Diceros bicornis minor: one gene and its partners. The protein of the gene in region 1 interacts with the protein of each later gene in a pairwise test. Links are inferred from orthologs where the notes say so. Each region holds a gene or a part of one and is shown on either strand. Other genes may lie near its edges. The genes, in order: TNIK, PPM1E, SPTBN1 and NEFM.

Region 1 (6,935 bases):
CTGGAGACATTTTTGTTTGTCACAACTGGGAAGATGTTATTGGCGTCTGGTGGATAGGGACCACGGATGCTGCTAAACATCCCACACCACACAGGACAAGCCCCCACAGCATGAATTATCAGACACATGCTGAGGTTGAGAAACTCTGCCTTAGAACAAGTGAACCAAGAGAACAAGGTAAAAGCTGAATTGCCTTTTACTTCCCAGCTTTAGAAGTCGTCTGTGTTCTATGTTGGAGGGATCTACAAAGGGTTTAAATACCAAGAGGTGAGGCTCACAGGGAGCCATCTTGGAGGGTGGCTACCATAGGCAGGAAGCTTTCCCTGGCCCTCTTCTCTTCTCTTTCTTTCTTTTCTTTTTTAAGTTTTCAAAGAGGAAAATCATTCTTATAACCCCCACCAGACTTTTCTTTAGTCAGTGTTGCATGATATGCCTTTGTCTAAACTAATCATTAGGAGAGAGAATAGAATTACTGTGAGGAGTTTAGACTATTTAACATTCACTCTCCCTCTGGGGCTGGGGAGAACCCATATTCTTTAAACACGTGGAGGATAAATTCTCAAAATCAGAATTTTCCTAGTAAAGAAGAAAGAGAATGACTTTGAGTGGATAACAGTCTGCTACATTTGCTTACCATTGTCTTTTGTGTGGCACATTTTTTTCTGGATTCTTTGGTAGAATATATTTTCCAATGATAATTTAAGAGATGATCAACCATTTGAATCCTTATGTGTCTGAAAGTATGTCATTATTCTATACTCTTTCTTAAATGTTACTTTAGTTGGGTAGAGAATTCTAACAGTTCCTTTAGAATACTTTGTTCCATTATCTACTAGCATCCATTGTTGCTAATGAGGAGTAGGTGACTAGAATTTTCTTTTTATCCTTAATGCTCTGAAATTCCATCATGATGCCTTAGAGTGTAGTATTTTTTACTTATTCACTAAACAGGAGATTTTAGCCTGAAGACACTAGAACATTTTCTATCATTTCTTTAAGTATCTCCTTCCATCCATTCTCCAGATCTCCTATTAGATGAATGTTAGAACTTCTAAATTTATTCTCCATATTACTTAAAATTTTGCTCATTGCTTTATCTTTTTTCCTGCAATCTGGAAGAAAACTAGGCCCAACCTTCTAGTTTACTAATTCACCCTTCAGTTCAGCCTGAGTCAGTACAGCATGGTGATTAAGAGCCTGAGTTCAAATCCTGGCTCAGCCATTTATTACTGTGTTGTCTTAAGTAAGTTAATTAACCTTTCTATTCTTCAGTTTACTCCTCTGTAAAATGAATATGCTAATGATATTGCCTACTTTATAAGATTATAAAGATTAAATGTTAATATATGAATGCTGAGAAGAGTATTTGCAGCAAAGTATTATTATTGTTCAATCTATCTATTCATTTTTAAAATTTCAATAAATATATTCTTAATTAGTCCTCTAACTGGTTTGTTTTCATAACAACCTCATTGTTTTGTGAATGTAAGATCTTGTGTTATCCCTCTGATGATTAAAAAATATATACTATAAAATTTGTTTTTGCTCTATTAAAAATAACTTTGGGTGTTCAATCATTTGTTGATTGAAGTTGGTCTCTCTTTCATAGTAATAGATTTCTAGGGATGATTGGCAATTCTGGGTTGTCTGTGCATCTTAGTGTTTGGAAATCTGATTTGCCTATCTGTGGTGCCAATTCTAATTCTGAGTGCTTGCTCTGCCGAGGGGGGGAGGGGGGCAGGACAGCACATGGTACAGGGCAGGGGATGCAGGTAGTTTGCTTTCTGGGTGTGTGTTCCCATTTCTCCTGGCAATTGGTGAGCAGCTCCCTGGGGTGATACCCTGTCTAATAAATATTTTATTTATTTATTTTTTTTTGTGAAGAAGATCAGCCCTGAGCTAACATCCACGCTAATCCTTCTCTTTTTGCTGAGGAAGACTGGCTCTGAGCTAACATCTATTGCCAATCGTCCTCCTTTTTTTTTTTCCCCCAAAGCCCCAGTAGATAGTTGTATGTCATAGTTGCACATCCTTCTAGTTGCTGTATGTGGGACCCGGCCTCAGCATGGCCGGGGAAGCGGTGCGTCGGTGCGCGCCCGGGTCCGAACCCGGGCTACCAGTAGCGGAGCCCGGGCACTAAACCGCTAAGCCACGGGCCGGACCTGGAGTTTTAAAAATAGTTCTGTTCATAGATCTCAATATCTGATCTTAAATTATTTTCTTTCAACATTGAGACAATACATTAACCTGTCATCTAGATTAAGGATAACAAAGGGACAGAGAAGGGAAAAATAACGATGTTGATGGGAAATGATAGTTTTTAACGTCGTTTCGACATTATTGGTGGCTTACTGCACGTTACTTACAACCTCGAGCTGGATGATTTTATTAAAAACATGAGAGATGAAACCGAGCGTTTTGAATACAACACGTTTAAACGTTTGACGTTTTAATGGTAAAAGCTCCTAAACATTACTGTTGTGGCCACTAAGATGTTGGAATAATCTCAAGTTTCATGATCCACAACGCACATAAATAGATACAGTAATATTAACAAACACAGCACAGCGTATACCGAATGCTGTGTCAAAGTCTTGTAAAGCCTGGAGACGCGATGAACTGACTGCCTTGGCTTTCATTCATTCACTCAAAAGCCTTATTCTGAAGCTGATATTCACATCACACAATTAAAAAACCCGCAGAGCACTTGGCCAGAAGTAAATGCTCATCTTAACAGAGGTGCAGATAATGCTTTCAAAGCTACTGCTGTATTTGGGGGAAAGTTCAATTTTAGCGTTTCTTCGCATGTATTTCGCGTGCCCACCAGGGCTGGAGAGGAGGGGCTGTGCGGGGAGTTGGGGGAAATGACTTCACACGCTTGATAACAGAATGTCGTGTTTACCACTGTAAACGTTCAGTCTTTAAATGAGAAAGCGGGCGGAGTAAAATCGCTCTCACGCGATTTACATACATTTTACGTTCCATCTTCTTCCCCCAGCCAAACTTTCTCCATCAATCTGGGTAGGTCAGCCGCGGAAACGCTGCCTGAAGGGGAAATGCAGGGTCCTGAGGCGGCGAGTGTTGCCATACCCAGTCTTGCTTTTGGAGTTACCTGAAGCATTCAAGCTACTGCACCCAGAGAACAAGCTTCTCGTTTCTATTCGGTCGTTTCCGTGGGGAATTGCGGCACGGGCAGGTCCTGGGTGTGGCGATGCCAAGAGGGAGCTCAGATCTCCCAGCTTTCCCGCTTCTGGCAAACCTTCCCAGCTCCGAAACGGCGAGTGACCGGCCCTCGAGACCCGCCATCCGGAATCCCAGGGACCGCTGGCAGACCCGACCCAGCGGCCGCTGCACATTGCCAAAGCGCGGGGCTGGGCGCGCTGTGCGAGTGCGCTTCTCCCCCATTCGTTCCGCGGCTGGAGGCGGATCCCCTTCCCAGCACACAAGTCCTTATATGCACCGGTTGCACCAGCCCGCGTTACTCCAGCCCCACAAATAATTAATGGGGGCGGGAGGGCGTCGCTCTTTTTTTCCTCTGGATTTTTTTCAGCGCTAGAGTATTTGAACCCTGTGGAGAAACCCCCAGATGCGATTGAAGGGCCATTTTGCTCCAGCGCATGAACTGGACACACAAAAATAAAGCCCCCTTGTCCTCACGATAAGCACGGCAGAGTTCAGGGACAGCTCTTCAAATCCGGCCGGATTAGCCAGCAAAAGCCTGGGCGGAAAGGGTGCGCGCCCCTCCCCCACACACGTTGGTGCAGAGCGACCGGGTCAGGAAGCGCGGCCTCTCCCCAGTCGGAGACCACGCCTCCTCCGCCTCCCCCCCCTTTACTCCTCCCAGGAAGCGGTGATAGACAGTTCTGTGTGGTTCTCCACCCCCACCCCCCCCAGCTGAGTGGAGGAGTTGATGTGTCTCATTATAACAGCCAATGCAGCCGCCATCCACGCACAAGCAAAGAAGCATGTCCCATTTAAATACACCCACGCAGCCCCAGCGCCCTTAGCCGATCAGGGCGCGCAGCCCACACACACCGCGGCTCCGGGCTTGGAGATCCGCGCAGGTTGGGCTCCCGGACCCCGCGGACCGAGGCGCGGAGGATCGGGATCAGGCGCTGTGGGGCGGGGGTGGGCGGGGGAGGCTGGGCCCCGGGCCTCTGGCGCGACACCCGCATGAGGACGCGAGTGAGATAGACCAAGGTGGAATTTCCAAGGGAGAAGCTTCGGGGTGGTTTTGGTCCATTTCTCCGGCAAAGAAGTAGACATGGCGAGCGACTCCCCGGCCCGCAGCCTGGATGAAATCGATCTCTCGGCTCTGAGGGTGAGCACGTTTTGATTTCTTTCCAGTGGTTTGGGTCAGGGTAAATGGGCTCGGTGCGTGGACTGGGGCTGGAGCTGGTGGGCAGAGGTGGGGGAATGCGACGCGGACGGAACCTGGATTCTGGTTTTGATTCCGGGCTGTTGAGGTGCTCTTGGCTAAGCCCCCACGGCAGGGGCTGTGCGGTACGTGTCCTCCTTCGTTTGTGGCCGAGGCTCCCCCGAGGGCACGTGGAGCTTATGCCAGTTTCATCTTAGACCGGAGTAAGAGCATTAAAATGAAAAGCTCGTGTGTGTGTGTGTGTGTGTGTGTGTGTGTGTACACAAGCTCCGGGCAGTCGTCTCGTGCCAAGGCGCGAGACCCCACTGTCCCTTTCTGCAAAAAGAAGAACAGCGTGAATAAAGGCACTGGGTCCTCACGTTTTCCAGCTACCTGCAAGATGGTATTGTGAGCCTGGCTCTCCCCACGAAGCCGAACCTGACCCTCCAAGGGGACAGCTATTGCTATGCTAGTCTTGTCGATGGCAACTGCCGCCCCTTCCCCCTTTTCTGCCCTCTGCGCCCCGACTCCCTCTCAGCGCTCTCTTAAATGCCAGTCTGTCACTCACCTTTATTTATGGCTTTAACTCAGCCCTGCCTGTGCTTTCCGACTCTGTGGCTGTGACATTTCAGTTTTATGGCTGAACTTAAGCAGGTGAAAAGGATGTGTTCTCTGCCTTTCCCCAATCAGACCGGAACTCCCGAGAGTGAGTGAGTGTGAGTGTGTGTGTGAGTGTGTGTGTGTGTATTTTCCCTGTGTCTTCGGCCAGTCCTTTGTAGAGCCCTTCCCTTCCCCTCTCGGCCCCGCTGGTTTGCATTTACCTTCACGTGAATTGCCGTTTCATTGTATTGACTAAGACATCACTGGTATAGAATCCATTTTGCTGTTGTTTTGAGATGAGAATACCAGGAATCCCAGTGCAGCCCCGACGCCACCCCACCCCCACCCCTCAGTCCCAACACACTCCTTTGGGGAAGGGGGCAGATTTTTCTTGCCATTTTAATTAGATGCTGCCTGCGGGGAAGGGGGTGAGGGGTGGGGGTGGCAGCAACAACGGGGGGACTGAGAAGGATTGGACACCAATTGAAGGACGGCTTCTTCCTCTCCTGAACCAAAAATAAAATTAAAAAAAAAAAAAAAAGCCAAAGCCGCTTCATATACTTGAGGCATGGAGGGTCGGTGAGACCGAATTGATGGTGGCTCTCAACGCGGAGACAGGCGGGATGGGTGAAGCTCGGAAGTTCACACGCCCTCCCGAGGAATACATTGTTAGACTGATGCTAAATCTCGGCGCTGTGTACCTGAATCTTCAGTACTTGTGACATTGCCTCCTCATCCACGGTTATTTTAAAGACTTACCTTTATGGTCAAAGTGGTACTTTTTCTTTAGTCTCCCCAATCCCCCCTCCCTATCCCCCCCTTTTATGCTCCCCTTCCCTTTCTCCTGAATCCTTCCATCCAAGAGGTGAGTTTTCTGCAAGGCAGTCAAGGGGTTGAGAAGGAACAAGAGATGCCATTTGAAACTGGCTTTTTTGATAGTTGGGCAGCAAAAGCCCATTCATATGTTCGTACAGTAAGCCGTCTATTGCCCTGGCGCCGAAACGCCACATTCAGAACCCGCTGCCCCCTGGGCAGCTGGGGGTGGGGGTTGGTAACAGGGTGGGTGCTTGGGCCAAGTCTGTGGCTTCCTGCTTTATAGACTGTGTTCATTTGCCCTACTTTCTGCGCTGGGAGTTGCTGCCAGCGGGTTAAGCAGGTGGATAGATGGCCCAGACTTCAGGGTAGGGGAAAGTGGCAAAGGCAGGGCATGAAGTCTGAACAATGGGCAAGGCTTGTGATTTCCCTGAGCTGGAATCTCGACGTCACTCCTCTAATGGAAAGCGCTCTGATGTGATTTTTAAGTTGGGCTCAGTCAGAGGTCTCTCTCGTGGGCTTATTTTCCTGGGGAGGGTTTTCTGAGATACCGAGCACAGAGCCTGCAGGCTTGTGAGCCACCCTGAGGGCCCACCAGCTGGCCTGGAGTGCAATCCACACATGGGAGGGCTGTGATCCTGAGATCTGTGTTTTGAAAAGATATCTTTGCAGGATTCACTGACATTGCTCTTTGTGGCCTGGGCTTAGTGCTCTGCCTCTGTTATTTCTGCCTGCAGGAGGTGTGGAAAGAGAGGGCTAGAGCGAGCTCAGGAGCTGGGGAACTGCTGGCTGGAGAACTTAAATGCCCATGTGGAGATAGATGCATCCAGAGGGCTAGGGTCTGTGACCAGCCCTGTGGTGGGTGAGGTGTGCAAGCCCCGAGTGGGTTCAAAGGCCACATAGGTAATCTCCACAAATCAGAGGGCAGATCATCTCTCTGTCTTCCCAAATCAGGAGAGGTGGGCTAATCTAGATGAGAGGTCCATTTGTTCCTAAATCCTCAGTAAAGCCAGCCTGCTGAGAACCTCCTGGGGAATGCCTGACCCCTGAAATGCAGCCAAGGTCAGTGGCTTCTAGGAGAATTTGATGCAGCCTTACCAGTCCCTTGCTGTTTCGGTGGCTCTTTAGTGTACACAGTCAATGCTCTTTTTGTAAACCCTTTGCT
Region 2 (7,326 bases), on another chromosome or scaffold:
CAAAAAAAGAGGAGGATTAGCACGGATGTTAGCTCAGGGCTGATCTTCCTCACAAAAAAAAAAAAAATTCCCAAAATAAACAGAGTGGGTGGGTATTTGAGATTTTTTTTTTTTTAATCTTCATCCTCCCCAAATAAGCAATTCCAACATATTCCTAGTCAGAACTATTTCAAAGTATTTCCTAGGAAATTTGAGAACCCAACATTTTGAATATGTCAGGGAGAGTTCTGAGGATAAGAGAGTATATTGAGAAATGTTGGAATCATCTGTACATAATTTGTCATTTCTGAATCTGGATCCACAGTTTTCTCATCTGTAAAATAAAGTGCTTGAACAGAAAAAATAATCTATTTCTAATAGTGCCTTCCAGTATTGATTCTTGTGACTAAGTCATGATTTTCTTTTATAAATAACAAAATAAAAACTAAATGTGTTGAAAGTATATTTTTTTAAACTGTGAGGGGCTTTTTTGCTTTTGTTTTTTTAATCTGGTAAGGACCTTGAAGATATTTTCATAAACAAGCCAGCCATTTTATACCTGAATAAAACTGTTTAGTAGCTTCTGCAGAAAACACAGTATAAATGATGAAATCTCTGATTTAACGTGAAATAATATTTTCCAACTTAAATTTTGCTAGTTTTACTTCAAATCCAAACTTCTGCTTTCAATTACATGGCTATTTTATCATCTGAATATTTTTTCTAGTTTATGTGTATCGAAATTAATCTTGCTTCCTTTCCATATGGAAAAACACATATCTTACCATCATCTTTTTACATATTTCATTTTTCAAAAAACCTTCTCGAATGGCAAATGTTCATGGCTGTTCTAAATTAATGACTCTCTTTTTAATGGACCTTCTCTAATGTTTAAATGTGTGTTTCTTTAATTCTGCAACTGCATTTGTAAAGGTAAGAACTGTCAAAACAGAATTAGTCTGATGCTGAGATAAATTCTTCCACTTTGGCAAACATTTCCATTTTATTTTAAGCAGGAAGTTTTAAGTGTCCTTATATAGTGCTAAAAAATGACATTTCATAGGCCCTTTTCTATGATAGTTTACAAACACCAGGAAGAAATACTCTAAAATGTTAATACTGTTTATCTCTGAGTGGTGGTATCACAAGCCATTTTATTTTGTACATTTCCCAAAAAGTACTGTTACTTTGGTAATCGGATAGTATTTCAAAATTAAATTTTAAATAGCTTATAAAGTGTGGGACATCCACACAGTCCACTTCTACAGAAGATATGTTAAATGCTTTTTCTCTCTTGACAAGCTTCTGCTTTAACAGGAAAAATGATTTGACCAGGTGTCTGTTAGGTAGGATGAAGACAAAACATTTACTTTCCAGGCCCTTCTCTTAATTTGGGCTTTTGAGAAAATCCAAGAAATGAGTGTGAACTTAATTGCAGGGACTCTTACAGCAGTAAACTTTCTGGGAGGGGCTAGGGTAACACCTTTCATTACAGCTATCGGCAGAATAGCAAAAGACTTTCAGGTTTACCAATGTTTTCAGAGACTTGTTAGCATTCTCCTCTGTCATTATTTCAGAACAATTCCATTTAGAAAGAAAGGCAATTGTAAACCGTTCTATTTCAAGCCCATAAAAACCAGAACTGGGATGAAAGGCAAAGCCTTGACCTTTCTATTTTAGACTTTCATCTGTGGAGCTAAGCCATCTGCTTTCTCTCCCCTACTCCATCTACTTAATGGACTGAAAATACCACACCTAATTGCAATTTTATCAAACCAGCCTGACTCTTTCACTTGAACGAATTATGACTTTTTCAGGCGTCTTTCACCTGAAGTCTCGCTCGTAAAATTTTGCTTACCCTTCCCTCCCAATTTCTTCCCACCTTCCTCAACTGTGCGTTATCAAATATCTTTAAACCAAGATATTAGCCTCCTGTGTATTAAGCCATCTAAAGAGCTCTTCACTTTCAACACTGAGCGGCTGACGGAAAAATCGACTCCAATCTCTCCTCATGTGGATATGGGGCCGGTATTATCATCATTGTTGCCGTTACGCAGGAGGCACCTCGAAGCACAGCCTAGAAAGGAGTCTCTCTGCCGCCAAACAACAGGGGACTCAGACTGGGAAACGGCAGACCCCGGAGGAAACCTCTGGGAGGAAGAAGCCAGCTGGGAAGAAGAGGGAGCTCTCAAGACTGGAAGGAAAGACCTTCCGAGGCACAAAAGGGGAAAGGGTGTGTGAAGCGGAGCAAGAAGTGGCGGCCGAGGGGAAGCGGGAGCAAGGGGCCGGGCCCGGCGGGAGGGCGCGGGGGGCCGAGGCGGGCGTGGGCAGCTCGCAGCCATCCGCCCGAGTCCGAGCAGCCGGGGCGCTTTCAGCGGCGCCAGACGCGGGTGCAGGGGAAGAGCCGAAAAGAGAGCAGTCTGAGGGGCCGAGGGAGCCGCGTCGCGGCCGGCGCGGCGGGGAAGCGGGCCCACCCCCACCCGAGCCCCGCTACTTAACTATTTGTAGAGCTGCTGCAGGCACAGGTCCAGGCTCTCGCCCTCCACCTCCTCGAGGGTGATGCGCTCCGACAGCGGCCGCGGGAGCGGGGGCAGCGGCGGCAGCTGGGGCTGCGGCGGCGGCACGGCCGACTGCCCCCGGGCTGCCGCCGCCTCCTCCTCCTCGCCCTCCGCCGCCGCTACCGCCTCCTCTTCCACCGCCTCCTCCTCGGGCTCGGGGTCTTGCTCCTGCTCTGGCTCCCCCTCCTCTGTCGCGGCTACCGTGGCCGCCTCCTCCGCGAGCTCCTCCACCGAAGCCTCGGCCGCCTCAGCCGCTACCAGTTCGGGCTCGGGCTCCGACTCAGGTTCGGGTTCCGGCTCGGGCTCGCCGCCGCCGCACGGTCCGCGAAACTCGCCCAGGAATAGCTCCAGGAAGCGCCGGTAAGTTTTCTCCTCAGGGATGCAGCCGGCCATCGCTGCTCATGCCCGGGGCCGACCGGGAAGTGGGTCGGGGAAAGCCCAGGAAGGGGTGGAGGCTGCCCTCGAGCCTCGGGCTCCCGCAAGGGCGGTTAACGGCCGCACCGGCACGACTGATCAGCACTAGGTTGCCTGGAGAGGGCTCCCGCAGGCGTGCGCGCCACCGAGCACGGACGTGCGCGGGCCGGGGGCGGGGGCGGAGCGCGCAGCCCCTTTCGGGTCTGGAGGGAAAGTTGGTGGCGGGCGCGCGCGCAGGGTCCAGCGGCGGCCCACCCTCTAGCCCTACTGAGAGCTCAGCCCGCGCTGCCTGGAGACTGTCGCTATGGCAACCGGCTCTAATTAAGAATTTCAGGGTCCCTCCCGTCGAGTCCGCGGTCGAAAGGACACTCGACTCTTCCGCTCTCCAACTGAATATCTTTATTGTATGGATGTCCTACCCTCAAGTGGGTAAGAATGAACTAAGACATCTCCAAGTCTAGCTGTTGGTTCCCGCTTATATTGGATTTACCTGTTTTCCTTATCTGTTCCTGTCTTGCCTTATTTAGCCTCCTTATCTATTGAAAGATACTACACTGTGAACACCTTTTGTTGTTGAGAACACTCATTCAGTAAGCAGTTTGGGGAGAGGGGCATCAAACACATACCAAGTGGTAGTTTCCTTTGCATACGTTCTCTCATTTGATTCTGTCAAGAAAGTGGTGTTATCCTCATTTCTCAAAAAGAAGAAACAGTATTAAGATTAAACACTTTACCTGCTTTAAGGTGTCAAAGCTACTAACCATGGCATTGGAATTAGAACCCAGGTTGTCAGCCTCCAAAGCCTTCTAGACCTTTTTTCCTTTACTCTTCTCTGCCTCTGAAGAGTCAACATTGCAATATGTCTTTAAAGCCTTATTTTTATAGGGCTTTATAGTTTACAAGTTGTTTTTATCCCTTTAGTTCTTACAACAGTGCCTTAAGACAGAGGACATTACCACTATGATTCCATTTTATTGATGAGGAAACTGAGCCTTAAAGACATTGTGACTTTGCTCAAGGTCACACACAAGTGATGCAACAAGGACTAAATCAGGTCTTTTCACTGCAAAGCCATTAGTTTTCCAGCACACCAAAACACTTCTCTTTACTCTCTGCATAATACATATTATACTTTATTACATAATATGTATTTTTCCTACATTTTGTTTGCTCTTCTTACCCATCCCCCCAAGCCTCTTTTCTTTCTTTTTTAGATTGAAACTGAAACGACTTTAAATGATTCTAATTTTCTTACCAAACTACACACAAACCTATTATTTTCAAGCCTTACTGAGGGGGGTGGAAGAGGCAGAAGCTGTGTTGTTAAACAGCTGTACAGATGATAGCATCATTACTGCATACTGCCATGTCCATGGCAACATATAATTCAGCAAAAACATAGTGATCTTTCTCTACTTTGAAAAACATGTTCACAAAAATGATCCACCCCATCCTCTCCATTTATTGTTTCTGGGTTTCAGTTGGATTTAGGGTCTTAAATACCATTTCTAGTCAGTTATTAATGGCAGAAGAAGGAGTCTCCCTGCTAACTGTTTTCATATAATACTGTATTCTAAATCCCTGACCTGATACTGTTATTTTAAGATTAAGTAAGTTGAGCTCACTAATGTACATTATGGCATCACATAAAATAGACGTTCATTCTCTCTCCTAGCTTGAGATTAAATAATACATGATAGAAAGTATATTGTGAGTAATGCACATGAGTCCTCTATTACTATTTATTTTTGTCTCAAAGGTAAATGGGAAGATCCAATAAATAACTCTGTTTCCAGACAAGCTAAATGTATTTATACGTGTTTTGTTTAAAACATCACCAGTGTAGAGCAACTTTTCTATGAGATGCCAAGAAACTCTTTAAACTCCTCATTTGCCTTTGTTTTCAATCCACCTGTTCATTTCCATTTCAGAATGTCTAGAAAAGACTGACGAAACTTTTAAGACTACAAACTGAAATATCCACAATTTTACATTCCAACAGCTATTTAATATCTCAGAATTTGACATGATGACATTTAAGTTCAAGAGTACAGAGCTGTCAACTGTAACAATTCATATCAAGCTACACCTTCCTACTTTGTAATGTAGTTGCCTCCCTCATCTGGGTGACATTTATTTGTGACATTAATTTATGACTCAACCCACATATCAAAAGGAAGTGTTATATGTTGGGGAAACATTACTACTAGGAGTAAAAGGAAAAGCCCACACCTCTATATTACTATAAATGAGAGGTGTTTGCTTATATTAATAAAGATATTTCTTCACATAAGATCAATATGGATCTTATTGCATCCATTTGACACAGTAGCTTTGCCAGAAGGTTGCTGAGAGCAGTGCTGGGATCTCGGAGCAGCTGTAGGATGATTTTGCCATTGTCAAGAAGTCTTTTTAGTCATTATTTTGCATTGCTTTACTTTCCTTTTTCAGTTCCTCTCCTCTTATACTTCCCTATCTACTTTCTTACTATCAAAAAATATGGAGCTATGAAAAGCATATGCATCAAGGGTATTTAAATTTTTTTTGAGTTTTTTTTCCATAAGAATTGTTTTTCCTCGGGGCCGGCCCGGTGGCGCAAATGGTTAAGTGCATGCGCTCCTCTGCGGCGGCCTGGGGTTCGCCGGTTCAGATCCCAGGTGCGCACCAATGCACTGCTTGTCAGGCCATGCTGTGCTGGCGTCCCATATAAAGTGGAGGAAGATGGGCATGGATGTTAGCCCAGAGCCAGTCTTCCTCAACAAAAAGAGGAGGATTGGCAGATGTTAGCTCAGGGCCAATCTTCCTCACAAAAAAAAAAAAAAGAATTGTTTTTCCTCTAACCCTTAGCTCTTTGGAGGAAATGCACAATGTCCTTTCCTGGACATTTATGGTAATGAAATTTATAAGGTTAAAAAGAATTGTTGAGTTTAGCAGTTTCTTATCATATGACCCAGCAATTCCTCTCCCAGATATTTACCCACAAGAAATGAAAACATGTCCACCAAACACACACACACACCACAAAAAACCTTGTATGTAAATGTTTGCAATAGCTTTATTCATAATAGCTCAAACTTGGAAATAACCCAGATGTCCATCAATAGGTGAATAGATAAATTGTGATGTAGTTCTACAATGGAAGTAGTAACTCAGCAATAAAAAGAAATGCATTACTGATAAACCAACAACATGGATGAATTTCAAAAACATGCTGAGTAAAAAAACTCCAGGCACAAAAGAGCACATACTATATGATTCCACTTATATGAAATTCTAGAACAGGCAAAACGAATCTGTAGTAACAGAAAGCAGATTAGTCGTTGCCTGGGGCTGAGATTGGGTGGGGGATTCATGGCGATGGAGTAAGAGGAAACTTGGTGGGATGATTAAAGTGTTCTGGGCCGGCCTCGTGGCTTAGCGGTTAGGTGCATGCGCTCCGCTGCTGGCGACCCGGGCCCGGATCCCGGGCGTGCACCGAAACACCGCTTCTCCGGCCATGCTGAGGCCAAGTCCCACATACAGCAACTAGAAGGATGTGCAACTATGACATACAACTATCTACTGGGGCTTTGGGGGGAAAAATAAATAAATAAAATTAAAAATAAAGTGTTCTATATCTTAACTAGTGGTTACATAGGTGTATCCATCTGTCAAAAATTATCAATGTGTGCATTTTAAATAAGTGTATTGTATGTGAATTATACCTCAGTAAAGTTGATTTTAAAAGTTAAAAATAATTGATTACCTTGTCAGTACTTGTCCTTTTTGGCTCTCATATCCATTCCTTCTCTCCTTTGCTATGCTCTGTGTTGTAGGGGGGCTGACACTTTCAGGATATATCCACCAAATTCCTTGACAGCTGACTTCCAGCTGGGATTTGCCCAGTGGGAGGCATTTTCAGGAAATTGGAAGGTGGGAGGAAAGGAGAAAAGCCAGGATATTTCTTCTCTGTTCCCTACCTCAGTCCTAATGACTGCTGCATCTCCTTTGTAGCTCTCCTCCCTCTGAACATGTCCACTGGGATTCCAGCTTTTGCCTCTGACACCAGCCCCTGAGCTCCAGAAACATCATCTTCTTCCATTTGTCCTAGAGATGGTAATGGGTTCCAGCTTCCTCATCTTGCCTGCTATGGACTGAATATTTGTGTTCTCTCAATATTCATATGCTGAAATCATAACCACAAGGTGATGGTATTAGGAGGTGGGTCCTTTGGGAGGTGATTAGGTCATGAGGGCAAAACTCGCATGGATGGGATTACTGCCCTTAAAGAGGAAGTCCATGGGGCCAGTCCGGTGGCATAATGGTTAAGTTTGCAGCTCTGCTTTGGCGGCCCCCAGTGTTCACAGGTTTGGATCCCAGGAGCAGACCTACACAC
Region 3 (7,477 bases), on another chromosome or scaffold:
AGTTCACTGGCATTAAGTACATTCACATTGTTTTACAACCATCACCACCATCCATCTCCAGAATTTTTTTCATCTTGCAAACAGAATTACTTTTTAATAATTAATATGCAATGACCAGACACATAGCTCTGATATACTAGCTTCTAAGCAGATATCTCTGGCACTTAGTAGCTGTGTAAACTTGGGCAACTCATTCAACCTACTAGTGTCTCAGTTTTCTTGCCTATAAAATGGGGTTAATATCTACCCCACAGAACTGACAAAAGGACAAAATAATATGACATTTGCTAAAGCACGTTAAAAACTGGAAAGTATTTTATAGTCGCTGCTTATGATTATTAAAAGAAAATTTGAAGATCGTTTATAGAAAGCTGAGACTGTTTATTCTGATCATTTTATGTTATTTCTGTATATTTAGATTACCATATATTCAGATTTATCACATATATATTTTACTTATTTATTGATTGATTCTATCCCCTACTAGAATGGAAGATCCATGAAGGCAGTGATTTTTTTACTGTTTTGCCCAGTGCTCTATTTCAGATCCTAGAACAGATTACGGCATATACATTTCTCAAATAAATGAAAAAATGAATTATTTTATACAATAAATGTATTGTTAGTACTCAAAAAATACTCACTCATAATAATGACAGTTTAAACATGTAAGTCTTTAAGTTTTCCCAGGGCAAAATTAATACATGTGAATAACCAAATGGAACATTTCTAATCTGAGGAAACTTCCCAGACTAGCTCGGGGTTAAAAAAAAGTCGTTTCAGAGTAAATAGAAATGAAAAAAATTTATTCAAGTTTTCAAAATGTGTTCTGATTTTTAAATTTTAGGCTATTATCAGTACAATAAAAGATGGATTTTAATTGGGTTAATATAACCAAGGAAAGACTTAAAGTAGCCGGCAGTGGCGCACAACAGTACTGTGCATCAATATCTGGTTTCAGATGTAGCCTCATGACTTGCTTTGGCAAATGAAATGTGAGTGGAGGAAACCTTGCATCATTTCTGGGTGGAAGTATTTAGTTGCTGGTACTTAACCCTCCATCACACTCCCCCTACAGTGGAGATTGTGGAAGCGCCCATTGACATGGAGGTACCATAATATTAAAGTATTCTGGAAAACTGAGCTGACACATGGAAGACAGCTTCCCCAGAGAGTATCTTGAAACCACAGTTGGCTTTATATAAGTAATAAATTAGCTTTTGTTAATTTGGGACTTGCATATTATACTGAGATTTGGGGACTGTGAGTTATAACATGATAACCTAGTCTATAGTGACTACTATATATGTTGACAAGATTTCCTCCTACATTTTGAATGGAAAGTTAAAATAACAATTTATTTCTGCAAAATTTTTGTAATAAAGTACTGCCTCTATGGGAGTTAAAGCCATATATAATCACATGGTTTTAAAAATGGAGAGGGGTATGTTACAGACATGATATCAATGAGTTCTAGGTTCCTTTACATCAACCTTGATGCTAATGTGAAGTTACACTTCAGCAAAGCTGCTTTTGAGATATCTGAGAATAATTCTTTGTTACCATCATTACTGCCCAAGGCTTTTTATCTTTTTCTAGATTCTTGCTTTCCACAGAGATGTATTTCTTCTCCAATAATCTCTTCAGACTTAGACTGTCTTTTCTTTGACCTGTTACTTTTTTTTTTGGTCGGCGGTACACTGGGCTGTCCTGGGTGATGATATTTTTCCACCAAAGGGTAAGAATTTGAAATTGTGAGGCAGGTATTAATAGTGAAATTTTGAATCCTTGTCTTTCACATTTTTGGAATACTTACTGCCACTTTACTAGAGTACCTTGCTAAGGTTATGTGAGGCCTCCCTTTTTGAAGGAAATTTTTAAAAGTAAGTGGGAGTGAGCGGCCGGCCCTGTGGCTTAGCAGTTAAGTGTGCGCGCTCCACTACTGGCGGCCCGGGTCGGATCCCAGGCACGCAGGGAGGCACCGCTTCTCTGGCCATGTTGAGGCCGTGTCCCACATACAGCAACTAGAAGGATGTGCAACTATGACATACAACTATCTACTGGGGCTTTGGGGAATAAAAGGAGGAGGATTGGCAATAGATGTTAGCTCAGAGCGGGTCTTCCTCAGCAAAAAGAGGAGGATTAGCATGGATGTTAGCTTAGGGCTGATCTTCCTCACACACACACAAAAAAAATTAAAAAAAAAAAAGTAAGTGGGAGTGGAATGGGGTAGGGGAGGTGACTCATCCATCAAATGAAGATTATTCAAGTACTGTTATCTGCGATAAAGGAAGCAGTCAAGAGACACCAATTCAGAATCACACTGGAAAAATTTCAACAGGCATTTCCCAGTACTGCCATTGTTTTCTTTGGTTTTCATCAACACTGTGGGTGGGGAGGTGCTGGGGGCCGTGGCACAAACTAAGTGAAAGGGAAACAACTCTCATTCCTAGTGGATTTCCTGTATTACCTAATGAGGGCAGCCCTTACATGCCGATTCTGTTCCATTCAATTCAACCAATATTTTTTGATCACCTTCTAAGTGCCTGCTATGTACAGTCAAAGAACCTGGCCCTTGGACAGTTCCCCTTCTGGCTATGTTAATCAATCTTCTGAGAAAAATGTTAAATTACTTGCCTTCATTGTTTTTCATAAATATCAAATGTAAACATTGATACAAACATTCAAACTGATGGTGAATGCCTAAAAGGAAGAATCATTTTCACTTTGCTGGGACAATTTCATGTAGTTTTATTTTAAAATGTTCATTTAAAAAATATATACAGGGGCCAACCCGGTCGCACAGTGCTAAGTTCTCACGCTCCGCTTTGGCGGCCCGGGGCTCGCAGGCCTGATCCTGGGCGTGGATCTACCCACTGCTCATCAAGCCAGGCTGTGGCAGTGCTCCATAAACAAAATAGAGGAAGACTGGCACAGATGTTAGCTCAGGGACAATCTTCCCCACCAAAAAGAGGAAGATTGGCAACAGATGTTAGCTCATGGCCAATCTTCTCACACATACACACACACAAAATATATATACACACAAATATAAACCCATCAGGCTTCTGGTCTATTGATTTGAAATATAAGCATGACCCAAACTATTTGGCTGCCTTTTATTTCTACTTTTTATTCAGGGGTTGAGGGTCAGATCTCTAGGGAAAAAGGGGCTTTTTCAACCCAGAAAAGCCTTCTTCCTTCTGAAGGCTTACAGTGCCGCAGTTGGACACCTACAGACCAAGCAGAAAGTCACTTTCTCCAGACTGCTTTCTAAAGAGCGTTTCTATTCATGGCCCTGGTGATGACACCATCTTTTTTCCCCAACAGTGGCGGTTCCAGAATTTCTACATAGCCTTGTGGGGGTTGACAGGGTGGGCAAGCTGGTTGGGAAGGGGCACTGACAGTTGAGAAAAATTCGAGAAAAGGTCCGGAGTCCGTCTCGTACTGTGGGTAGGGGGAGAACTCCGGCCCCTCCAGCCATCGCAAGGCCTCCACTGCAGCCGGGACGTCCCCTCTCCGTAGGAGTGGCTCCGGAAAAGCATCGCTTCAGGTGAAAGTAAGCCTGCGTTTGGGCGAGAGGCAGGAGTTGGATGAATCACTTGTGGGGTCTGTTCCCAGCTACCCCGAGGGAAAGGATGAAAAAGCACTCACAACGGAGGAAGATCTTGACTTCACCGAAGAACCACCTCCCTCCCCTCATCGCCCCAAGGTTTCCCACGGAGAAGTCACTATCGCTCTTCATCAGGCTGAGCGGAACCTATAAGGCAACACCACCTAGATCTAAAACCAAACCAGCCAACCAACGCTCTAAACCCTCCCTCAGCACGCTCTCTCCATCGCGTTCCAAACGCAAACATCGCGGGTGAAAAGAGGCTGCACAAGTCACGCAGAAAATTAAGCTGCGCCTTTCCATGGCGATAATCGAATTAGCCTCAAATTAAACGTGAAATTGGCCCTCGCCGGCTGTGGGGACAAAGCCCTCATTGTCCCTCTGCTCCGGTAGCGGCGGCGACGGTGCCCATCCTGCCCAGGCCAGCCCCGGCCAGCCCCCGCGGCAGGCGACGAGGTCCGCGCTGGGCGGGGGCAGAGCCTCGGCGGGGGAAAGCGTGGACGCGCCCCAGGATCCGCTCGCGCGCGGAGCAGGCTCTGGGTGAGCAGCTGCGGGGCTGCCAGCAGGGGCGGGGGCAGGCGAGAGGGAGCGACCGAGGGAGGGAGGAGCGGAGGAGAAAAGAGGAGAGCGGAGGGTGTGCGGGAAAGAGCATGTGCGCGCGCGTGTTGCGCGCACCCGGCGCCCGCGCCCGCGCGCTCTCTCTCCCCGCCCCTCGCCCCCTCCCTGCGCGCTCCCTCCCCTCCTCCCGCCCACCTCGCGCTCCCGCCCAGCCCCCGGAATCAGTGCAGCTGTTGCCGTGCAGGCTGCGGATTCCTCCAGTCCCTCCCTCGGCCGCCTCTCCGCCCGGAGCAAGCGCGCAGCCCCGCGCAGCAGCGCCCACTGGTCCCGTCCTGTGAGCCCCGGCCCCAGCCGCGGACAGCCCCGCGGAGTCGCCTCCCGGCCCACCCGCCCGGCCGCCAAGGAGCGGGAGGAGGACGGGACTCCGGCGCCCCCACCCCTATCCGCGGGAGGTAGGTAGGGGGCCTGAGGCTGGAAGATGCCAACTCACTGGGGCTGCCTCCCGGGCAGCGGGCGGGAGGAGGGGCGCGGGCCCAGGCCGGGAGGACGCAGCTGCCCTGCCGCTGCCTTGCGCCGGGGGAGCGGCGTGGGGGCGGGGAGGCTGCAGAGCCCGGGCGGGGGCGGCGCGGGAAGCCTGGGTCTCCAGTGCTAATTATTGCTAGGGTTATGCGGGGCAGAGGGCGGTGGGCTCTGCAGTGAGGCGGCCGCAGACCAGCGGTGCGCACCGCGGCCGCCCAGCCTCATCCCCGGGCGCAGTGGCGCCGATTCCTTCTCCCTGCGTCCGCCGCCGCCTCCCTCCAGCCAGGCGCAGCGGCCCCTGGCGCGGGGGTGGGTGCGGAGTAGGCTGCAGGGAAGGTGTATTTTCAGGTGGCCTCCCTCTAGTCCCGGCTGGTGGGGAGCGGGGCGGCGTTGACAGGGCCGGGCTCTAGGCTTAACGGTACGGGGGATGCTGCCAGGCGTGGTCCGAACTGCGCTGCGCTGCAGCTGAACCGGAGGCGGCGGCCCGGCGCCCCTCACCCCCGCCCATCCTCGCGCCCGCTCCCCCCTCCGCGGCCGCTCCCCGCCCTCCCTGTCGTCCCCACTCTCCCAGTGCTGGGCGTGAGCCGCCTCGGGGCACCGAGCCGCCGCTGCGCCCGCCCTTGAGCTCCTGCCACCCTCTCTTCAACAGGTTTGTACCAGCGCGGAGCCCCTCCGGGCCTGCCTTTGGGGTGGTAGGCTGGAAGCCCCTCTCGTCATCATTCCTCACACCACGCTCGTGGCCCTCTTTTTCGGGGGGGAGAGACTTCCCTTTGTTTTTCTGTTAGGAAAGATGCCCAGTGCTTGCCATCAGATGGGGAGGGGAAATGTGGGGATCAGTACACAAACCGTGTCCATTTTTGCAGTCAAAAGCCAGGCCCGATAGTAAGTTAGGAGAGGACGAGTGTGGGGGTGCTTCGGTGGGGGAGAAAAATGGATTCGGTGGGGTTTATTTGGGCGGGGATGTGCTTTTTTGGCAAGATGGATGGCTCACGGTGCCCTCGCCGTGATGCAGCACAATGCAGCAGTATCGCAGCCTCCCCTGGTTCTCGCTGGCGGGGCTTGGCACGGCCACTCGGCGCCTGCGGCCCCCGCCCGGCCCCACCCAGGCCCGGGGCTGCCCTTGGCCGAGACTCGGAGCTGCGTCTACCTTGTCATGCTGCTTCAGCTGGATGTGGCGTCAGGAGGACCAGGTCACCTCGCTGTGAGGGGGGAGGCTTCTCTTTGGGCTGACCCCCTTCCGCCCCGCCTGTTGGGCTATGCTCGGATGAAGGGGCGCCCTGCAGCGCTAATGCGGGCAGAAGGAGCCGGCCTGCGGCTGCGGACCGCAATCTGATCTCCGACCGAGGGACCTGAACCGTAGGGAGGGGCAGCAGGGAGGACGGGGCCCAGCGGTGTGCGGAGGCAGTGGTGCATTCGGTATTGGGAGTCGCAGCGTCTTTCTGTGGATCACCCATGATCTGTAACTACAACCCCACTATCCTTCGGTTTCTTCATATGTGAAAGTTCATGTTTATTAATTGGAGCTTCGCAGCTATGACATTACTGTACCTCGGTCTTTGGTCAATACGGAGAAGGATTTTTTCCTAGAGGAAACCATTTTTTGAAATGAAGCGATTGATATATTTTAGTTTTTGTGTCCTTGAGGCATTTCTAAAAATACTGACATTCAGTAGATTGTTTTAAAAGGAACCTATTTTTTGATGGATAGTAAATGGTTTCTTTAACCTGTATTTGCTTTGTTTTTATTGTTTGCTTTTTCTGTAAATCAAGTACAATTACATATTTGGATTCTTTATTAAGGATTATTAGGTAAATGAGTGTCATAATTGATGGTAAGTACTCAGATTGATTTAGATAGGCAAGTTGTCTCCAGTTATGACTAATGGGATTGTGATGGTAACTGACTGCGTTTATGTTTGTTTATATGTATTTTTCGTATAAATATTTTTTGCAGATGTGGCTGGGGAGGGGGTTGAGAAAGGCAGACCCCCAAGGCCGCTGTGGCTGTTATCTGGTCAGAAGGAGATGGTTCCCTATGTCTTGTTTAGTCTAGACTAGTACACAGGGAATTTTTCTTCTAAATGCCACTTCGACAATTCATTTATTCAGTGTGGAATGGCAAATGAGATGCATTTCAAATGTCACCCCAGCTCTTCTAAAATGTATAGGTGAAAAAGAGAATTTAGTATTCTAACTGGAAGGGAAGGTCAGTGTTGTAAAGCAAGGGCGTGTCTACTTTTATTTTTTAAATCTCTAATGAATCCAAATTAGTGGCATTTGATTTTATGTGGCTCTGCAGAGTAGAACTGAATGCAAATTGTGTGGTTTATGTGCATTATTTTGAGTTTCTCTGATAGAGGGCCATTAAAATGTAGAACTTTTTGGGTTTGGCCTTCATTGTTGTGCTGGTTGTATAAAATCATGTTGCATAAAGATGTTTGGGAGTACTGTTCCCATGGATTATCCAGACATTTTGGATTTACTACTGTGTTGTAAGAAAATATCCTGTGTTGATGTCACAGGAGGTTTAGCTGTTCTGACTTACACACCAGCTGCAGAATTCTGTTAGATTAAGCTCTTTGTAATTCTGTGTCTCTGAACTGACCAAAACCTTCAACTGAGAGGATGAGAAGCGTTGCGGCAGTGAAGAAACTGCCAGCGCCTGGTCATCTTCTGTTGTGCAGGCTTTCTGTGAAGAGCATCTCTTGGGTGAGACTAGTAACAACTGTCTGAGATGTTGTAGGAGCTAGTGAGAAGGCCTCACTCTCTACTTGTGACACATTCTTA
Region 4 (6,850 bases), on another chromosome or scaffold:
TCTGAAATCAAAAAGACCAAAAGTCAAAGCTGCTTTTACAGTTTGACATCCCGAGGCTCAAGTAGAAATAAGTACTATAGTTTTCATTTTCCTTATGTTCCCACTCCAGGGTCCTCAGTCCCTACGTTTCTACAACAGCCCGTTAAATAATTAGCAAAGGACAATTTATAAATAATCACTCATCATGTGTTGTAGAATCAGATCCCAGGCAAAAGGATCAAGTTTAAGACATCTCAGTATGTTGAGAGAAAGTACAGTTCACCTAGTCTTACACAGATTAAGCCTAGAACCTGACAGTGGCGTCTTCCATCCGGAGCATCTTGCCTGCTGTCGGGTTCCCACATTCCACCCTCTTTGCATTTTTGTGCATCAAAAAAGTGTTCTTTAAAATGTAAGGAAATACGGGAAGAAGAAAGAAAATGCCCAGCTCCTTATTTTTCTAACCTTATTTTTTGACCCAATGAATAAACCCCTTATGCAAAGGATATTTTCCCCATTATCATTAAATAAGACCTCACAATAGCTGTCTCAACTACAAAGTTAATGTTTGTACTTTACCTACTGAACGAACACATAGCATACTCTGTGTTTCCCTATAAAGTGATTCAAAACACACTGAGCTTATGGTACAACAATCCAGAGATAATGTCATTAAAAATATATTACATCTAAATCATATGTGTAACTTCCCTATTTGGAATAAACTATAAAAGTATCATAGTCAAACTCAACAGTGTTGTAAATTCAGATAAATCCTCATGCTTCTTTTCTCTCTTGTTAACGTTTTCAGAAGATTCCGTAGCCTTCGTGTCAATAGAGTAAAAAAGGCAAAACCTTACATTTTTTTCTATCAGAAACATTAGAGTGGTAAATGTTCTTCAAAAATATGAGACAAAGAGGGAAAAATGAATGTCACAGCTTTTTTTTAAAAAGTTTTTATAGTAAACTCACTGATGGGCATAACCTTCAAGTCACCTTCAGGAAGAGTGATTAAAGTGAAAATTCTAATATAAAATAAAGCGTTTTGTTAAATATGGAAATGGATCAATCATTTTTAAGCCAGAGGGAACTTTTTTTCCTCAGTAAGACAACTGTTATAAGTCTCTAGGTTATCCTACTGCAGCCACACTGAACAATACTTCATGTGACATTGAAGTTAGAATTTTAAGCTAGAGGCACTAACTAGATTTGGCCTGAGTAATTGGCTATTATTTTATTTGTACACAATGCTTTCCTCCTTCTGTAACCAGTTGGAAGCTTAACAATTTCCGAGCTGGTTTAGGTAAAAGGCAAAACAGGTTAATTACGAAGTTAGACATGTGTTTCCTCGTAAAGGTCTCTCTGCAGAGTCATCTCATTTTCAAAGCCCTGAAGAAAACTAAGAGCAGCAGCCTGCCCGTTAACCGTTTGCTCTCATCGCAGAAAGCGCTTTCAATGCATAGGCAACGTGAAACGGCCAAGGGTTTCTCTATTTTTTAATAAAAGCAGAAAGTAATAAGTAACTAAGGCATAATTACTTCACAATTAGCATTTGGTCTTATCAGATGGCATCTTGCAGTGTCCAACCTGGAGACTGTCAGTACTTCACAGAAGGGCAGGGAATTTTCTTTCTCTTTTCTTTTACATATCCACCTGAAACCAGAAAATCCTGTTTTCACAATATTCACAAGTCAGTCCTCTCACTCTATCATCTGTCTCGCCCAACAGCTTGAGACATGGGCTCTCCTTGCCTGAAAGACAACCCGTCACTCAGCAAACTAGAACATCCTTCCCCCACACAGCCTGCAATGCTGCAGTTACCCAGTAATGAACCAAAAGTAACTCCCTAACTTAACCCTTTCTATTTTAAAATACAAATGGGCCAATAGATCTTATAAAAATAAAAAATAAAAATAAAAACCTCTAGAAACCCAGGCCTTTTGTGATTACTTGCTGATTGATATGATCTTGTTATTTAATAACACAAGGACTAGAGAAAGCAGGCTGTGAAAAGAAAATATGTAAGTTTGGGGTCTCTACTTTTCACAAGCAGTGGTTTCTTCTCAGCCATGGCAAGCATTTCACAGGCACTCACTGTGCCTGTGGCCCCAGCAAACTCGGTCATTAGTCCTGCTTCCTGCTCTTCACTTTGTCGTGCAGTATTCTGAAGTTTTTTACCCTGAATTGCCCCCAAAGCACTATGCAAAAAGAGGGACATTTTAACAGTTAGCAGTGCACCAGACAGCAGGAAGTCTGTGTAGATTCCTTGCTTAAATAAACATGTTTAAAGATATGGAAAAATCTATTCCAAATCAGTCCTTAAAATCTAAACAGGGAAATATATTTTAAATGGAGGAAAAAATATCTCGTTTTGTTCAAGGTTGTGGTGAATCGGTTTGGCAACTTTTAAATTAATTTTAAATTAATTCAGATGTTTTTCAATCATTGCAGTTACATACAAGGAGGACTGAACAGAAAGATGACAAAGCAATTGCTTGTGTTCAAACTTATCATAAACTATATTTCCCTGGACTTTTCATCTCAGCAGATTTCAAATTCCCATTTCCAAGCAATATTTGACCTTCAAATTTCAGGCCCTGGGTCTCTTGATTTCCTGCATCCATCATATGTTAAAAAAACCCAAACTAGGCTACAAGTATATTATTTGTTACCTAACTTGAATGAATTTTAGTTGTTTTCAAAATCTGCAATCTGTAGATTGTGCCAACCCCGCATTGCAGAGAAATCTTAGCGTGCGATTCCAGCTTGGCTCCTGCAAACAGAGTCACTACAAACAGGCTTTAATTGTATTTACTCGGAGAGAAGAGGGGGAAGGAAACCCCCGCCAACCTGACAGGCCCTGCTGGGTGATGAGCCCCCGGGCAGCTGGATCTCCCGGCTTGCCGGCCTGGGCGCTGTCCTTGGTGCTGCCGGCGCCATAGCAAGCCAAGCGCCTTACCTTCTGCCCATGCGGAAGCTGCGGACGTCCCCCAAACGTTAAGCAGAATGTAGCGCCATATCCCACTTTTAATACAAATAACTACCCCGGCCCATCCTCTTTGTCCCCTTCCCGAAGGCTTCAGGCTGACCGTTCCTCAAAGTCTTTTTGTTTTTTTCTTCTAGGCCCAACTCCTCTGCGCTCAACTCGGGCTGCTTTAAGACAAGGAGTGGGGGAAGGGGAGGGAGGCAAGGGGAGATGAGGATGGGGGAGGGGAGGAATGTAGGGGGAGGGGAGGAAGAAGTAGGGGAGAAGGAGCGGACGGGAAGGAAAAGGTCCAGGAGGAAGGGGCTCAGAGAGAAGGGCGGAGTGAGTGGGACTAGAGAAAGCTTAAAGAGGGACGGCGAAGAGATGCCAAAAAGAGGGGGAAGTGATTAAGCACAGAAGAGGCGTAAAGAAAAAAGTAATGGAGAAAGGGCAAAAGAAGAGAAAGCCATGAGGATAAGAGTGAAGAGGGCTAGAAAAATGACAAAGGGGCCAGCGAGTCGGGAGAAAAGCTGCCCGAACAGCGGCAGAGTGACTCAACAAAGAAAGGGCGTTGGGTGAATACTCGCACCGAGAGCGTAAATGCAATCCAAAGGTGAAGAGAAATGGAGAGAGGGGGCTTGAGGGGCGACAAGTGGTCTGGGACCGAAAGGAGAGCTGGGGGAGGGGCCGGGGCCAGGGCAGCAAAGTCCGGGGTCCAACGCAGCGTGGGCCCACGTGGAGCGGGCGCTGAATCACTGTAGGCTGTCTTTACCCCCCCACCCCTCCTCCCGGCCCGGTGCCCGCAATCCCCGCCTCCTCGGCCGCCGCCTCCACGGGGCGGGGCCCTGGCCCGGGTCCAGCCGCCGCGGCTATAAATGGGCTGCGGAGAGGCCAGCAGAACGCTGTGACAGCCACACGCCCCAAGGCCGTCAAGATGAGCTACACATTGGACTCGCTGGGCAACCCGTCCGCCTACCGGCGGGTAACCGAAACCCGCTCGAGCTTCAGCCGTGTTAGCGGCTCCCCGTCCAGCGGCTTCCGCTCTCAGTCATGGTCCCGCGGCTCACCCAGCACCGTGTCCTCCTCCTACAAGCGCAGCGCGCTTGGCCCGCGCCTCGCCTACAGTTCGGCCATGCTCAGCTCCGCTGAGAGCAGCCTCGACTTCAGCCAGTCCTCGTCCCTGCTCAACGGCGGCTCCGGGCCGGGCGGCGACTACAAGCTCTCCCGCTCCAACGAGAAGGAGCAGCTGCAGGGGCTGAACGACCGCTTCGCGGGCTACATCGAGAAGGTGCACTACCTGGAGCAGCAGAACAAGGAGATCGAGGCGGAGATCCAGGCGCTGCGGCAGAAGCAGGCCTCGCACGCCCAGCTGGGCGACGCGTACGACCAAGAGATCCGCGAGCTGCGCACCACACTCGAGCTGGTGAATCACGAGAAGGCTCAGGTGCAGCTGGACTCGGACCACCTGGAGGAAGACATCCACCGGCTCAAGGAGCGCTTCGAGGAGGAGGCACGGCTGCGCGACGACACCGAGGCGGCCATCCGCGCGCTGCGCAAAGACATCGAGGAGGCGTCGCTGGTCAAGGTGGAGCTGGACAAGAAGGTGCAGTCGCTGCAGGATGAGGTGGCCTTCCTGCGGAGCAATCACGAGGAGGAGGTGGCCGACCTGCTGGCCCAGATCCAGGCGTCGCACATCACAGTGGAGCGCAAAGACTACCTGAAGACAGACATCTCGACGGCGCTGAAGGAGATCCGCTCCCAGCTCGAGTGTCACTCCGACCAGAATATGCACCAGGCGGAAGAGTGGTTTAAGTGCCGCTACGCCAAGCTCACCGAAGCGGCCGAGCAGAACAAGGAGGCCATCCGCTCCGCCAAGGAAGAGATCGCCGAGTACCGGCGCCAGCTGCAGTCCAAGAGCATCGAGCTCGAGTCAGTGCGCGGCACCAAGGAGTCCCTGGAGCGGCAGCTCAGCGACATAGAGGAGCGCCACAACCACGATCTCAGCAGCTACCAGGTAGGAACCGCGGCTGCGCAGCCAGCCTGCGCCAGCGCCAGCGCCGCGCGCCCCCGACACTCAGGCACGCGCCCCGGCGCGCTCTCCGCCGCGCTCCCTGGCGGCCGCTGGTCAGTGCGCGCGCGCGCGCGCGCGCGAGCCGCCGACCCAAGTCGATGCGCAAAGCTGCCTCGCCACTCTCCGTCCTTTCCACACTCCTCCCCACCCACCATCCCCAGCTCCTAAGAACCCTGACCTTTTTCAAAACGTGCTTCTTTTCCTCGGGAGTTCTAGTTTTGCACGCTTGCACATTTAAAGTAGGAGGTATACATTCGGGTAGTTGATAAAGCAGCAACTTTAGGATAGCTTGTGCAGAACCACATGCATTCTCAAGTTTTCCGGCCGTGATCGAAAGAATACTCAAAATTGTCTTTGGCCCAAAGGGGTCAGATGGGAAGAGCTAGGTCAGCCGTGGGGTTTCCCCATGCATATTTGTTTCCTGTTGAGACATATTCTAGATCCACTGGTCTCAGCGCATGATGTGTCTAGAAAGTGTCTTATTGATCCTGACTTTTTGAGAATTCCTTAGATTTTTTTTTAAGGGAGGGAAAGTGGCTAGGTATCCTCCTCGAGGGTTGCAGAGCTGGAGGGAGTCGGAGTGGGAGCGGAGAGAGGGTAGCGAGTGGTTTGCGAAAGTTGCTGTTTGGAAGGATGAGTCTGTGGCTGTGTCTGTTTCAGGACACCATCCAGCAGTTGGAAAATGAGCTTCGGGGCACCAAGTGGGAAATGGCTCGTCACTTGCGAGAATACCAGGATCTCCTGAACGTCAAGATGGCTCTGGATATCGAGATCGCTGCGTACAGGTACCGTGATCACTGCGGACGTGGCCGAAATGCTAACTGGCACTACAAAGGCTGTTCTGGCAGAACCTTCACCACTCTAACTTAAAGCAGACAGGTTGCAGGAGTCTTAAATCAGTGCCGGGTTTTCTTTCCCAATTAAAAAGAAATTATTCTAAAGAATTGCAGTTATTGCAGTTATACAACTTTCAAAGTAAACAGTTGAAATAAAATGTTTTGAAGGAGAGCACCAGTTAATTTCAGTGCTTATGCTTAAATTTTTTTATTTTAGTGAAAAATTTTTTCCCAATGTTTGGAACAAAAATGGAATTTTAGTTTTTAATATTTCATCTAGTGGTTTCAGCTTTTCAACTTTATAATGTCAAGGACAAACACCAGGAGATTCAATTTCTCTGTTTCTCTCTTAGAGCTTACTATTGCCATCAGCTGGCTTAGAATAGATACAAATTGATACATATATATTCTATTACATATATATTCATACATATTATATATATATTCTAATACATATATATTCTGTCTATTTAGATTTATGTGTATAGATCTAGATATACACAGCCAGAGAGAGAGAGAGAAGAGATTATAGGTCTACTAAATGATATCAACTTGCTGTTGACTGAGTTCATAGGAGAAAATCCTTGACTAAACAGTTTTTCTACTACCAATAAGGTCATTATAATATTACAAGAATAAATTGCACACAGGAATAAATAAATTCCTGTCTAACTTTTCAGGAAACCTGAATAATTATATTAAATAAGCATTTTATGGTCAAAATTGCAGACCAATTTATAACTTGATACACTCATATTAGCACCTCGCTATGATATATATATATATAGCCTAAATTCTGATATATGCTAAATAGTTTTGTAAATTTTTTGAACATTATATTTGCTAAAAGAAATTTAGTATACATTCTGAAAGTCCAAATGCTCAAGAAGGTTACTCAGGTTTTTTTTAGCCACTTAGGGAGCTTTTCAGCATATTCATGTTGCACCATATCAACTGCCTCAGAGCTGAGATTTGGTGGCTGGGTGTGGTTGGTGGACT

What was found.
Region 2: the proteins of TNIK (region 1) and PPM1E interact in a two-hybrid assay, tested with the Homo sapiens proteins (2 studies listed by BioGRID and IntAct). The link is inferred for Diceros bicornis minor from reciprocal best matches to the Homo sapiens genes TNIK and PPM1E.
Region 3: the proteins of TNIK (region 1) and SPTBN1 interact in a two-hybrid assay, tested with the Homo sapiens proteins (2 studies listed by BioGRID and IntAct). The link is inferred for Diceros bicornis minor from reciprocal best matches to the Homo sapiens genes TNIK and SPTBN1.
Region 4: the proteins of TNIK (region 1) and NEFM interact in a two-hybrid assay, tested with the Homo sapiens proteins (2 studies listed by BioGRID and IntAct). The link is inferred for Diceros bicornis minor from reciprocal best matches to the Homo sapiens genes TNIK and NEFM.

The regions. Positions count from the first base shown.
Region 1 is NC_080754.1:50,589,411-50,596,345, forward strand, and holds the start of TNIK (TRAF2 and NCK-interacting protein kinase), read left to right. Parts: upstream 1-3,922; 5' UTR 3,923-4,264; coding exon 4,265-4,321; intron 4,322-6,935. UniProt on the Homo sapiens protein: Serine/threonine kinase that acts as an essential activator of the Wnt signaling pathway. Recruited to promoters of Wnt target genes and required to activate their expression. May act by phosphorylating TCF4/TCF7L2.
Region 2 is NC_080757.1:28,983,351-28,990,676, forward strand, and holds the start of PPM1E (protein phosphatase 1E), read right to left. Parts: upstream 3,013-7,326; 5' UTR 2,931-3,012; coding exon 2,479-2,930; intron 1-2,478. UniProt on the Homo sapiens protein: Protein phosphatase that inactivates multifunctional CaM kinases such as CAMK4 and CAMK2. Dephosphorylates and inactivates PAK. May play a role in the inhibition of actin fiber stress breakdown and in morphological changes driven by TNK2/CDC42.
Region 3 is NC_080751.1:31,959,638-31,967,114, reverse strand, and holds the start of SPTBN1 (spectrin beta chain, non-erythrocytic 1), read left to right. Parts: upstream 1-4,460; 5' UTR 4,461-4,623; intron 4,624-7,477. UniProt on the Homo sapiens protein: Fodrin, which seems to be involved in secretion, interacts with calmodulin in a calcium-dependent manner and is thus candidate for the calcium-dependent movement of the cytoskeleton at the membrane.
Region 4 is NC_080750.1:68,933,011-68,939,860, reverse strand, and holds the start of NEFM (neurofilament medium polypeptide), read left to right. Parts: upstream 1-3,831; 5' UTR 3,832-3,878; coding exon 3,879-4,958; intron 4,959-5,675; coding exon 5,676-5,800; intron 5,801-6,850. UniProt on the Homo sapiens protein: Neurofilaments usually contain three intermediate filament proteins: NEFL, NEFM, and NEFH which are involved in the maintenance of neuronal caliber.